Linked DNA regions of Macaca mulatta. The protein of the gene in region 2 purifies or fractionates together with the protein of the main gene of each other region. This does not show direct contact. Links are inferred from orthologs where the notes say so. Each region holds a gene or a part of one and is shown on either strand. Other genes may lie near its edges.

The links.
Region 1: the proteins of FOS (region 2) and COP1 purify together in Homo sapiens (affinity purification with mass spectrometry; 4 studies listed by BioGRID and IntAct, counting the BioPlex papers as one, with this or other methods). This does not show direct contact. The link is inferred for Macaca mulatta from reciprocal best matches to the Homo sapiens genes FOS and COP1.
Region 3: the proteins of FOS (region 2) and STK40 purify together in Homo sapiens (affinity purification with mass spectrometry; 3 studies listed by BioGRID and IntAct, counting the BioPlex papers as one, with this or other methods). This does not show direct contact. The link is inferred for Macaca mulatta from reciprocal best matches to the Homo sapiens genes FOS and STK40.

Annotation. Positions count from the first base shown.
Region 1 is NC_133406.1:33,619,820-33,623,464, forward strand, and holds part of COP1 (E3 ubiquitin-protein ligase COP1), read right to left. Parts: intron 2,257-3,645; coding exon 2,180-2,256; intron 1,366-2,179; coding exon 1,246-1,365; intron 1-1,245. UniProt on the Homo sapiens protein: E3 ubiquitin-protein ligase that mediates ubiquitination and subsequent proteasomal degradation of target proteins.
Region 2 is NC_133412.1:148,475,629-148,479,975, reverse strand, and holds FOS (protein c-Fos), read right to left. Parts: upstream 2,841-4,347; coding exon 2,700-2,840; intron 1,946-2,699; coding exon 1,694-1,945; intron 1,258-1,693; coding exon 1,150-1,257; intron 1,033-1,149; coding exon 391-1,032; downstream 1-390. UniProt on the Homo sapiens protein: Nuclear phosphoprotein which forms a tight but non-covalently linked complex with the JUN/AP-1 transcription factor. In the heterodimer, FOS and JUN/AP-1 basic regions each seems to interact with symmetrical DNA half sites.
Region 3 is NC_133406.1:204,444,805-204,448,449, forward strand, and holds part of STK40 (serine/threonine-protein kinase 40), read left to right. Parts: intron 1-1,778; coding exon 1,779-1,894; intron 1,895-3,645. UniProt on the Homo sapiens protein: May be a negative regulator of NF-kappa-B and p53-mediated gene transcription.

The DNA.
Region 1 (3,645 bases), on a different chromosome or scaffold from region 2:
AAAAAAGTCTTTTCTATTACTTATCACCATGTGAAAATACGTGCTTTACGATTTAGTTCACAAACACACGCACACAGCAGAACTTTAGCTTGTCCACAGCCCTTAACACAACCCCTGGCACATAGCAGATGCTAATAGAAAACTACGGTTAAAACCGTAAGAGAAATTCCCATGAACCCCACCTCCCAAACAGATACAACATGGGAGACAACTCATCCTGGCTGGCTCAACCTGACACACCTTTCTCCTACTAGCAGATCCCCACCACAGTGAGTGGGATCCAGATCCAAGCTAAGTTAATCATAATCTAGCCACAAAAATTTTTTAACTGCAGTTGGAAACAAAAGCTCCTTTTTTTTCTTTTATCAAAAAACATGCATATAAACCAAGAGTGCAAATGACATTATTATCCACCATGTGATAAAGAAGTCTGTAAGAAAAGAAAATCAGAGCTGTCCCAATCAAATAGTCACAAGGGGCACAAAAGAAAGACTCTCAACAACATTCAAATCCTTAATCTCATGTACTTGTAGCATTCCAGAGAAGCCATGGTTCTAATCTTCTCAAAGTTTGGTTGTTCAACTATTCCTTTTTGTGTGTATGTGTTATTCACTCCTTTACTGTGTCAATAAATACTCCCTTTATGTTTAGCCTCAGGGTAGTATTTGCTTATGCTAAGGTGTGTGTTGCTTATATCACACTCAATTCCCAACACTTGCAATTTCACATTTTACATCTTTAACATTTACATAAAATAAATGGAATTTTACATTACATTAAATAAGATATATTTAGTACAGATCTCTTTAAATGCTCTTAGTTATGCCATACACTACTGTTGCTACCAATGGACACCTGCTGAAAGAATTTTATGTAGATAAAAATAATCTCTATTTCTCCTCCAACTCTCACATATGAATAGGGGATGATATGGCAAGAAAGATACTCATTAGAAGACAAATGACCAACAAAACTATTTCCTATGAAAATGAAACTTTTCTTTCTGAAGATTTTTAACACTCAGCTTTTGTTAATAAAAACTGGTCATTGCAAATAAGTTATAATGTATGGAAATTGTTCTTTAAGTTACTAAAAGGGGGAATCTAGCAGAAGTGACACTTTGTAGCTGTTTCTAGCTGAGTAAAAATGAGTGGATTAGTGAAGCTATCCTATCATTTTTTAGATCTTTTTCATTGCAATAAAGTTCACCATTTAAAATATTTTTTAAGGTTAGCTACCACTTACTGCTTCCAGTTGTTTCTTCTTCTGCACTAGTAACTCCAACATAAGATTGACATTGGCCAAATCAAGGTTATCTTGGTCAGTTCCCAACAAATCTTGAAATATCTGCCACCTGTGGCCATTCTAAAAATGAAGAAAGAAGAAACAACAACTTCCTAAGAAGACTGTTTTAGAGACTAAAACAAATGTTTACTTGCTACTTCCTAATATGCTCATTACATAGACACCAAAAACACACTGCAATGTTCCAAACTACTCCTTCCTAGCTAGCGGCTCCCTACTGTCTTCTAGTTATAACTTAAACACTATTTCTTCTCCCTTAAATGAATTAAGATAACAAATATAAAAGGTGCATTCGAGAATATTCTAAAGCTGTAATTTACCTTCAAAATAACTGAATTTAATTATTTGTCTAGCCATATTTTCAATTTTGCATGTAGTAAGGTATTAAGCTCATTTGCCTTGGAAATTTGGGACTAAGCCTTTAAAATTGAGAATCTTTCAAAGGTTTGTTTTTGTTTTTCTTTGAATATAGACAGACTCTCACTATGTTGCCCAAGCTAGTCTCAAATTCTTGGGCTTAAGTGATCCTTCAGCCTTGGCCTCCCAAAGTGTTAGGATTACAGGTATAAGCCCAGCCTCGACAGTTTTTTTGAAAATATCTAACCATTGTTTCACCACGCAATACAATCCTTCAAATGTCAAGTATTAAAAGACAAATGTTTCAATATAATCCTACCAGACCTTTCAAAATAGGAGCACTCTAGCAAAGTATTACAGATAATGCAGTTAAGAAAGTTATTTGACTAGAACAATCCTAACAATCTCCGTTAAGAAAAATCAATAATATATTAAACTTTAACGTCTAACTAATATTAAACCAATAAAAACAACAAAATGAAATGTATTAAAAATAGTAATAAGAGTTGAAACATACGGTGCTACTCACTGAGTGGTCCAATTTGAACCTCTTTTCCTCAAATCTTTGCTTTTGTTTAAGAATGAGTTCATTCACTGAAAACAGAAACAAAATAAAAAGCACAAATAATTTGTATTTTTGTTAAATGTATTGTGTAATTCTTCAGTTTAGATAGATTCTATTTTACCTATACACAGCCTCCAAATTAAAAACATGCTAAACAGAAAGTGTTAGCTTTTTATTTTATTTCAAATTAGAAAACAGTTGTGCTGCAGCTGCTACTACTACAACTACTATTACTATAGGAGAATTCTTCAGAATATGAATTTTCCCTTACAAGTTTCTCAATGATGACGCTACTGGCACCTGAGAGAGAAATCCTCATTCACCATATGAGACCATCACATGCCCCATATGGTAACAAGGCATGAGTAACTAAGTATCTCCTATGAGCTAGGCACTAAAGACTTGCATTTGTTCTTTCTCTTTGTAATTTTTCTAAAAATGCCATGGAAGACACTTTTAGTTACCTATCCAAAGACCATCCTACTCTTTTTCTTGATAATAACATGACTTTTTTTCCAAGTATCAGACTGCCATATAACTTTCAGAGAAGTTAGATCTCACCCCAACCCCATGTATTACTTTGACTAACCTAAGGCAATCTAGTCATTCATGCCCTTGCCAGTGGTTGACGTGGGGTTAAGTATGTAACCCAATTTTGACCAAAGAGAGATGTGCTATCTTTCAGAAAGAAAAGGATAGGAGAAAAAACCATGCCTTCATAAGGGGTATCTGAAACTGCTCAGAGCCATCTTGTAATCTCAAGAATAGCCAGCCAAAAGACTAAGGTATACGCTGGCAATGGAAGAACAGAACAACAGAAAGAACCTGATAATACCACTGAACCACTGATAACTAGCTCTAGAAATTCTTTTCCTGTGAATCGATACATTTTCCATAATGTTTAACCACTTTAAATTGGATTTTTCAATTTTTCTACAACCAACAAATATAAACTGACACAAAAAACTGATTTTTTTTTTTTTAAAGGGAAACTAGTACTAGGCTAGGTAGGCACTTTATAGACAATATCTTACAGATTATTCTCCCCAATTAGAGATGAATATTAGCACAGAGAGCATTAAGGAACTTATGCATGGTGACATATACAATGAAGTAGTACTGAGAATATAGACCCAACTGTCTGATACTTCCCACTATACCACAATGCAAGTATAAATATTTTTGAAAACACCAAACAGATACCAAGTTCATAAGGATCCAAGCTTCAAAGATACAATACAAGGCCTCAAGCAATTCAGACAAGCAAGACAGATTCATATGATACAGTACTTATAATGTGATAATCAGTACTATCATTAAAATAGATTTACAAAGTATACACACAGAGATCAATCAAAATGTTAACAAGCACACTTCATATAGAAGGCAACATTAGAAATGGGCCATAATAGGCACAC
Region 2 (4,347 bases):
GATACAATTTGAAAATATCCAGCACCAGGTTAATTCCAATAATGAACCCAATAGATTAGTTAATGCTATGAGAAGACTAAGGAGAAAGAGAAAAGAGACACAGACCCAGGCCTGGCTCAACATGCTACTAACTACCAGCTCTCTGAAGTGTCACTGGGAACAATACACACTCCATGCGTTTTGCTACATCTCCGGAAGAGGTAAGGACTTGAGTCCACACATGGATGCTTTCAAGTCCTTGAGGCCCACAGCCTGGTGTGTTTCACGCACAGATAAGGTCCTCCCTAGGTCTACAGGAACCCTCTAGGGAAGACGTGTTTCTCCTCTCTGTAATGCACCAGCTCGGGCAGTGGCACTTGTGGGTGCCGGCTGCCTCCCTTCCCTGCCCGCTCACAGGGCCAGCAGCGTGGGTGAGCTGAGCGAGTCAGAGGAGGGCTCATTGCTGCTGCTGCCCTTGCGGTGGGCAGCTGCGCAGCTGGGGAAGGAGTCAGCCTCGGGGTAGGTGAAGACGAAGGAAGACGTGTAAGCAGTGCAGCTGGGAGTACAGGTGACCACCGGAGTGCACAGGGGCTCCAGCTCTGTGGCCATGGGCCCCATCCCCAGGGAGCCACTGTGCAGGGGCTCCCAGTCTGCTGCATAGAAGGACCCAGATAGGTCCATGTCTGGTACAGAGCGGGCTGTCTCAGAGCCGCTGGGCCTGGATGATGCTGGGAACAGGAAGTCATCAAAGGGCTCAGCCTTCAGCTCCATGCTGCTGATGCTCTTGACAGGCTCCACTGAGGGCTTGGGCTCTGGGTCATTGAGGAGAGGCAGGGTGAAGGCCTCCTCAGACTCTGGGGTGGCAGCCTCTGGCAGGCCCCCAGTCAGATCAAGGGAAGCCACAGACATCTCTTCTGGAAAGCCCAGGTCATCAGGGATCTTGCAGGCAGGTCGGTGAGCTGCCAGGATGAATTCTAGTTTTTCCTTCTCCTTCAGCAGGTTGGCAATCTCGGTCTGCAAAGCAGACTTCTCATCTTCTAGTTGGTCTGTCTCCTGTATACAGAGGGAGAAAGGAAAGCATAAGAAACAGTCTTACTCAAGGGCCCTTATGCTCAATCTCCAACTTTCCCCTTAAGTTTTAAAAAGGAGCAACCCGCAAAGTCTACCTACCGCTTGGAGTGTATCAGTCAGCTCCCTCCTCCGGTTGCGGCATTTGGCTGCAGCCATCTTATTCCTTTCCCTTCGGATTCTCCTTTTCTCTTCTTCTTCTGGAGATAACTAGGATAATCACAAAAAAAAAAAAGACCGACATTCAGTAAAAGTGTCTGCCATCACCTCCATTCACCCACCCCAGTAGAACTGGCTCCTGCAGCTTCCCTACTTCCTGGCATCCCACTGTGAAACCATTTCTAACCTGCAGTTGCAGACTAGGTGTGACTTGCATTTAAAATAAGATCCTCAGCAAGAGAACAAAGAAGAGCCCAGTCTAAAAGCATGCGGTAGGAAACTTAGGGAAGAAACTATGAGAGTACTTCTTAGGGTGAGACTCAGAGTCTGAGTTGGGATGGAATGGGCTTGGAGCCAGGGTTCCCAGTTAGGGATGTGCAGCCAGCCCCGTCAGGGGCTTAATCCTCTCTGCTGTGCTCCTCCACCTCCAGGGCCGCTTCCCACCCAGCCCCCACCTTCCCAGGAAGGGTAGGCTAGAGTTCCTCACCTGTTCCACCTTACCCCTCCTGCCAGTGCTCTGCGCTCGGCTTCCTGTCATGGTCTTCACAATGCCAGCCCTGGAGTAAGCCCCAGCGGAGGGAGTGGGGACTCCGAAGGGGTGAGGGGCTCTGGTCTGCGATGGGGCCACAGAGGAGACGAGGGCCGGCTGCACAAGCCACTGCAGGTCCGGACTGGTAGAGATGGCAGTGACCGTGGGAATGAAGTTGGCACTGGAGACGGCCAGGTCCGTGCAGAAGTCCTAGAACAAAACAGAAGGGGAAAGCCGACGTGAGCGAGCAGATTCCGGACACAGGTGGGGCGAGTTGCCGGTGCCGCATGCAGTAGCGAAGAGAAACGATCCTGCCACGGACGTTTCATCTTAAATGTCCCTCATCCTGGATGAAAGGTCTCCCCCTTTTCCTCCCAGGCATTCCGCAGCGCAGTGTCTGTCTCTTCCATCCTGCCGCTGCGTTCCCGTTATCCCTTCAGCATCACTCGCTTGAAAGGGGGTTTGTTATAAATATCCCTGACGTCTGCGCTGACGCAGGCGCCGCTCCGGAGTCTCCAGAATGAACTCGCTTTTTATCAATGAAACTGCCTTACACACCCGCCCGCTGCACCCTCCTCCCTCACCCCTCCTCCCTGCTCCAGGCTGCCGGGGGAGGGGGGATTGCCGCTTTCTGCCACCTCCCCAGAGAAGCCAGGCTCTAGTTAGCGGGTCTGTGCTTGGGAGACGTCTGCCCCAGCTAATGTCAGAGATCCGTCCTGGAATGCAAACCAGACGTTGCTCAGAACGAACCTGCCTCCGGAAGGGGGAACAAATTCTTACTATGGCAAGCTTGCGTGCGCTCAGAGCCAAGTCCCGAGCCCCCGAGCCGGCACCGCTCCGGCCACTGCAGCCTCCCTCCAGGCACAAGGGAGCCCCCTACTCATCTCCTGGAGCGTCCCGCCCGGTGTCTCCTCCTCAGCGACCCCAAGCCCCCGGCCCCGCGGCGGTGGGAAGCCAGCCTTACCTGCGCGTTGACAGGCGAGCCCATGCTGGAGAAGGAATCGGCGGGTGAGTGGTAGTAGGAGAGGCTATCCCCGGCCGGGGACGCGCTGCTGCAGCGCGAGGATGACGCCTCGTAGTCTGCGTTGAAGCCCGAGAACATCATCGTGGCTGTTAGGCAAAGCCGGGCGTGGGGCCGAGGGGCGGAGACAGGTGGGCGCTGTGGAGCAGAGCTAGGTAAGAGCGCGGTCACTGCTCGTTCGCTGCGCCGCGGCCGCCGGCTCAGTCTCGGCTTCTCGGCTGCTTGCTGCAGATGCGGTTGGAGTACGAGGCGCCGCAGCCACTGCTTTTATAACAAGCGTTTTATGAATGAGTGTAAACGTCACGGGCTCAACCACGGTGGCGCCAGAGGGGTGGCGCGCGGGCCTGAGCGCCTCTGCCGCCGCGTGGCTGCCTCCCCAGCGCTCGCAGCTCCCTGCCTGTGCCTTGGCGCGTGTCCTAATCTCGTGAGCATTTCGCAGTTCCTGTCTCAGGGGTCTCGTGGGACCCTCAAGATGAGGGGCTTCGGGGATGGCTCCCCCCAGGGCTACAGGGAAAGGCCGTGGAAACCTGCTGACGCAGATGTCCTAATATGGACATCCTGTGTAAGGGGGAGGGATTGACGGGAACTGCTCGCGGGCTGCAGCCAACAACGAGGGTGCAGCGCGGGGGGAGGCGGGGGCCGCGGCCGGGGGAGGGGAGGCGGGAACGGCGCAGAATGCTAGAGAACATTCGCACCTGGTTCAATGCGGACCCTTGTTCCCGAGGTCGGGGGGGATGGGGCAGAGAGCGCCTCTTTACCCTTGTACGGAAACTGAAGACAGTTCTGAGGCTCAAGAATAGGAGAAACGGCCTCGGGTACACGGCCCCGAGGACTTAAGCCTCGGCTCCCGAAGGAATGCGTCCCTACCCCCATCCCCAATTCTAGCCCTAATTCAGTGCAAAACGAGGAAGCAGACCCTCACCCCTCTCCTCCCGGGCTCGAGCAATGCTAGCACTGTTCCTGCGTTTGGAAGCAGAAAGTGGATCCAAAATAACAGAATACGATAACCTACTTTACGATACTGGGTACTTTATTTATTTACTTATTTTTTCTTTAAGGAAGACAGCGCATTTATTTATTTATTTTTCTCGGCCATGTGTGGGAATATTAAGGAAACTGTCAAATCCCTGAGACACCAGCAGATAAACACTGTGCGACACCTACGTGCGAAGACATTTGAAGGGGGTGTCTGCCCGGTTCTGAGCTGGGCCCCGGGGGTAGGGAGTGCGGGGTGTGGTTATGTGGGCAGGGTGGTCAGTTCGGGATGACAAGGCGGGGTGTGCTTCCTGCGGGGAACTAAAATCTGAACTGGGGGGCTGGTTCGGTCCCGCCAGGAAGCTGTGCTTACGGGAGCCCGCAGCGGGTGATTTTCCAGCGCGGACTTGGAGAGGGGAGGACAGGGGCTGGAAGGACAGTGTCCAGCAGCGCCCAGGCGGAATACCTCCACCGCTGGGACCCCAGGCGCGGCTCCACGTCCTGGAACACCGGGCTTTGGGGAGGCAAGGTGCTCCAGAGTGTGCCACGCCCCCCAGCCTCCTGCCCTGCTGCGTAGGACAGCCGGGGTCACGCTGCCCGGGCTCAGCCCCAGCGC
Region 3 (3,645 bases), on a different chromosome or scaffold from region 2:
TTGTCTTATCTTGCTGAATCCTAACCCAGTTCTGGAGTTTGGTGCTAGGATTTCACTGTTGTACACATGAGGAAATGGAGGTTTAGCAAGAGATTCACACATCAAGGATGTGGCAGAGCCAGGACTAGGAACCTGACTCCCAAACCCACCGTACTGTCTCCTGAGCTGTCCTCCTCCCAGCGTCTTGAGCCTCAGAGACCCACAGGATACATTTGCAGCTTCCGCAGCCATCTCTGACCAGGAGTGCCTCTGCTCTGTGGGAACCTTCTGGACAAGAGGCCTGAGCAGTCCTATATTCAGGGCAGCGGCACTGGAGCTTCAGAGCTAGAGCAGTCCACTCCTTGACGTGCACGTGACCCTGCACAGTGACCCTTCACCTGTGCACTCAGGCTCTAGCCGCCCGTGGGTCACCAGTCAGATTCCTATGGCAGCTGACAGGGCAGGCCTGTGTAGGCGCTGGAGTCAGCGTTTCCATGAGGAATCCAGAGGACAGACTGGCCTTTGTTTTGCATCAAGGCCTTTGCCAGCAGAATTCCCCAAGATTGCTGAGGGCTCTCAGAACCTCCTGGACGCAGCTCCTGGGGAAATCCACCGGCAGCCACGCATGCGCTGTGCCTCTGAGAGCTCTGAGAGTTGATGGTAGTGAGAGGCAGCCCAAGGCCCCCATGGAGCTTTCCTTCCTCCTGTCCTCCCAGCTTTTCCCCCTAGCTTTTCCACCCAGCCAGCCGACACAGCAGCAGGGCAGTCGGGCAGAGAGGCACCCTTCCTCGTTGCCTGCCCCCGTGGGCCAGGAAGCCTTTCCCAGGCCTCTTAGACAGGGCCTGCCCCCTCTCCCAGCCTACGGTGTGGTGCAAGGTCCTCTCAGGGCACTTCCTTTTGTCCACATGTGAGTTTTCTCCAAAGGATCAGAGCCCAAAGCTGCTCTGCCCCATGCCTTTCAGAGGGAGAGTCTGTGATCTAGCCAGGGCAGAATCACAAGTACAAGGTAAGGGATGAGTCAGTTTTGATGGAACAGAAGGAAAAGTCATTCAGGGCCTGGGGCCCTGCCCAGGGACACATCTGGGCATGAGGAAGCTGTCAGTTGTGTGCGCAGCTCTGGGACCTCGCAGACCTGGGCTTGGATCCTGCTGTTCTGCTCACCAGCTGCATGACCTTGGCCAAGTCCTTTCACTTCCCTGTGCCTTTGTTGTATCATCTGAAACCGGACGGTGAGAAAATCCCCCTCACTGGCCACTGTCAGTTTCTTCCTCTGCAGTGGTTGTGGGGCCAAGTGAGACAGTGACCTGACAGACTCCGTGGTGTGGGGGCAGCTGGGGCCACCCTGGGGTCACCTCCCAAGGTGGAGTCACTCATCTCTGCCGGCCTTCCTTTTCCTCATGTGTGAATGAGAAAATTGAACTAAATCTCTGGTCACTCCCAGTCTAGAATATGACACGAGGCTGTTTTTGGGAAATCTCTGAAAGTTGTTCTAAGCCCTATTTTATACCCCGAGATTCATCCAGGGCAGTAGGTCCGGGGATGGCCTGTGCAACACTCAGGACCTGGGAGAGAAGCCAATCCCTGCTGGGACAGCTCGGCTGGTGGCCAGAAAAGTCTGGGGCCTGATTCCTCTGCTCCCTGGAGAGGGGGTTGGGGCAGCTGTTTCGCCCTCTGGCGAGAAGCCCACCTCCTGCTGTTCAGGATCAGGGACTGGCCCAGTGAGGTGTGCCCTGCCTATGTGTCTTGTGCCCGTTGCTATAGACACTGAGGTTTGTTCACTCTCTGTCTCCCATTCCTAGGACACATCGGATAACCATCACCAACTTCTGCCTCGGGAAGCATCTGGTGAGCGAGGGGGACCTTCTGAAGGACCAGAGGGGCAGCCCTGCCTACATCAGTCCTGACGTGCTCAGTGGTATGTGTGTGTGCCAGGCAGTGGGCCTCCAAGCTCAGTACAGCCAGGCTCTGTGACAATCCACTCAGCAAATCTGTGGGCAGGCCCTGGGCAAGGTGCTGGCGCTTCACTGGGGGCCCAGACCAGTACTGTCGCTCCCCATACAAAATGTTTGGTCTGTTGGAGGTGGAAGACGTAACGATAACACGAATGCATGTTTAATTCCTCTGAGATTAGTGCTAGGGAGGAACGGGATTGCTGTGAGCGTGGATGAAGGGTGCTTGGAGGACTTTCCCCACAAGGTGACAGTTGAGCTATGATCTTAAGGGGAACTAGGAATTCCCTGGGTGTGTGTGACTGGGCTGAGGCGGAGGGTCCCAGAGGCAGCACGGCACATTGGAGCAATTTCAAGCTGCTCAGAAGTGAGCCTGGTTCAAGGGGAATCCAGAGAGGTGCGCGGGGGCCAGATCAGGCAAGGTCTGGCGTAGGCCTCGTTAAGAGACGTCATCCCTTCAAGTGCGAGTGGAAGCCATTGAACAGTTCTCAACTGCGCGTGCCACTGTGAGTTTGCGTTTCAGAGCCCTCACTCCCTGTCTTTGTTCACTCATTCTGTTACTATTTGCTGAGGGCCACCCAGGCCCAAAGCTCTGTTCTAGACACTTTGGAGACCACAGTGAACAAAGTAGACAAACATCGCTGCCTTCATGGAGCTGACTTTCTAGTGGGGTTGAGACAGATAATACACAAAACAAATAAATAACTCACGGGCCGGGCGCAGTGGCTCATGCCTGTAATCCCAACACTTTGGGAGGCTGTGGCGGGTGGATCACAAGGTCAGGAGTTCGAGACAAGCCTGGCCGATATGGTAAAACCCTGTCTCTACTAAAAATACAGAAATTAGCTGGGCGTGGTGGCAGTTGCCTGTAATCCAAGCTACTTAGGAGGCCAAGGCAGGAGAATCGCTTGAACCCGGGAGGCAGAGCTTGCAGTGAGCTGAGATTGCACCACTGCACTCCAGCCTGGGCAACAGAGCGAGACTCTCATCTCAAAAAATTTAAAAAACTCCCAAAGTTACTGCCCACTGATCTGATTTCCAAGTTCCAGACACAGTGCTGAGCGTGACTCACATTATCTGTTTAAACCACACAGCTATCCTGTGAGGTCAATATCTTAAGTCCTTTTCTCACAGATGAGGAAATTGAGGCTTAGAGATGACATCTCTTATCCAAAGTCATAGCTAATAAATAGGAAACTGGAAAATGGAGGCAGAGCCCCAGGGCTGCCTCCCACTAAAGCCCATGCTCCCAACTCTTTCACCATAGACTCTGTTGCTTTCCCTTTCCCCCTTGTCCTTGGCCCAAATCCTTTAGGGAACCGGGGCTTACACCAGCTCCCATCCCTCCAACATGGAGAACTTGGGGTTGTCTACAGGATCCTTCATCCCCACCCCACACGTGAGTGCGCCCTTTCTGTGCAGTGGCAGAGCCAGCCTCATCCCAGGTCTTCACACACGTCCTGGTGAGCAGGCTGCTGTAATACAAGCACTTACAACTCCCTCGGAGGCTCCCCCAACTGCTGCTTCTGCTGGAGAGCCAGGCCTGTCCCCAGGGCTGCCCATGTGCAAAGCCAGTAGCACCTTTCCCCAGACCTGGGGGTTTGGTTGGAGTCACCACAGCCTCTGCTAGAGGGATCTGGGTGCCAGGGGTATACCCTAACTCCCTGGGCACCACCCCCATGGCCCAGCACAGCCTGATACCCTCCACAGTAATCCC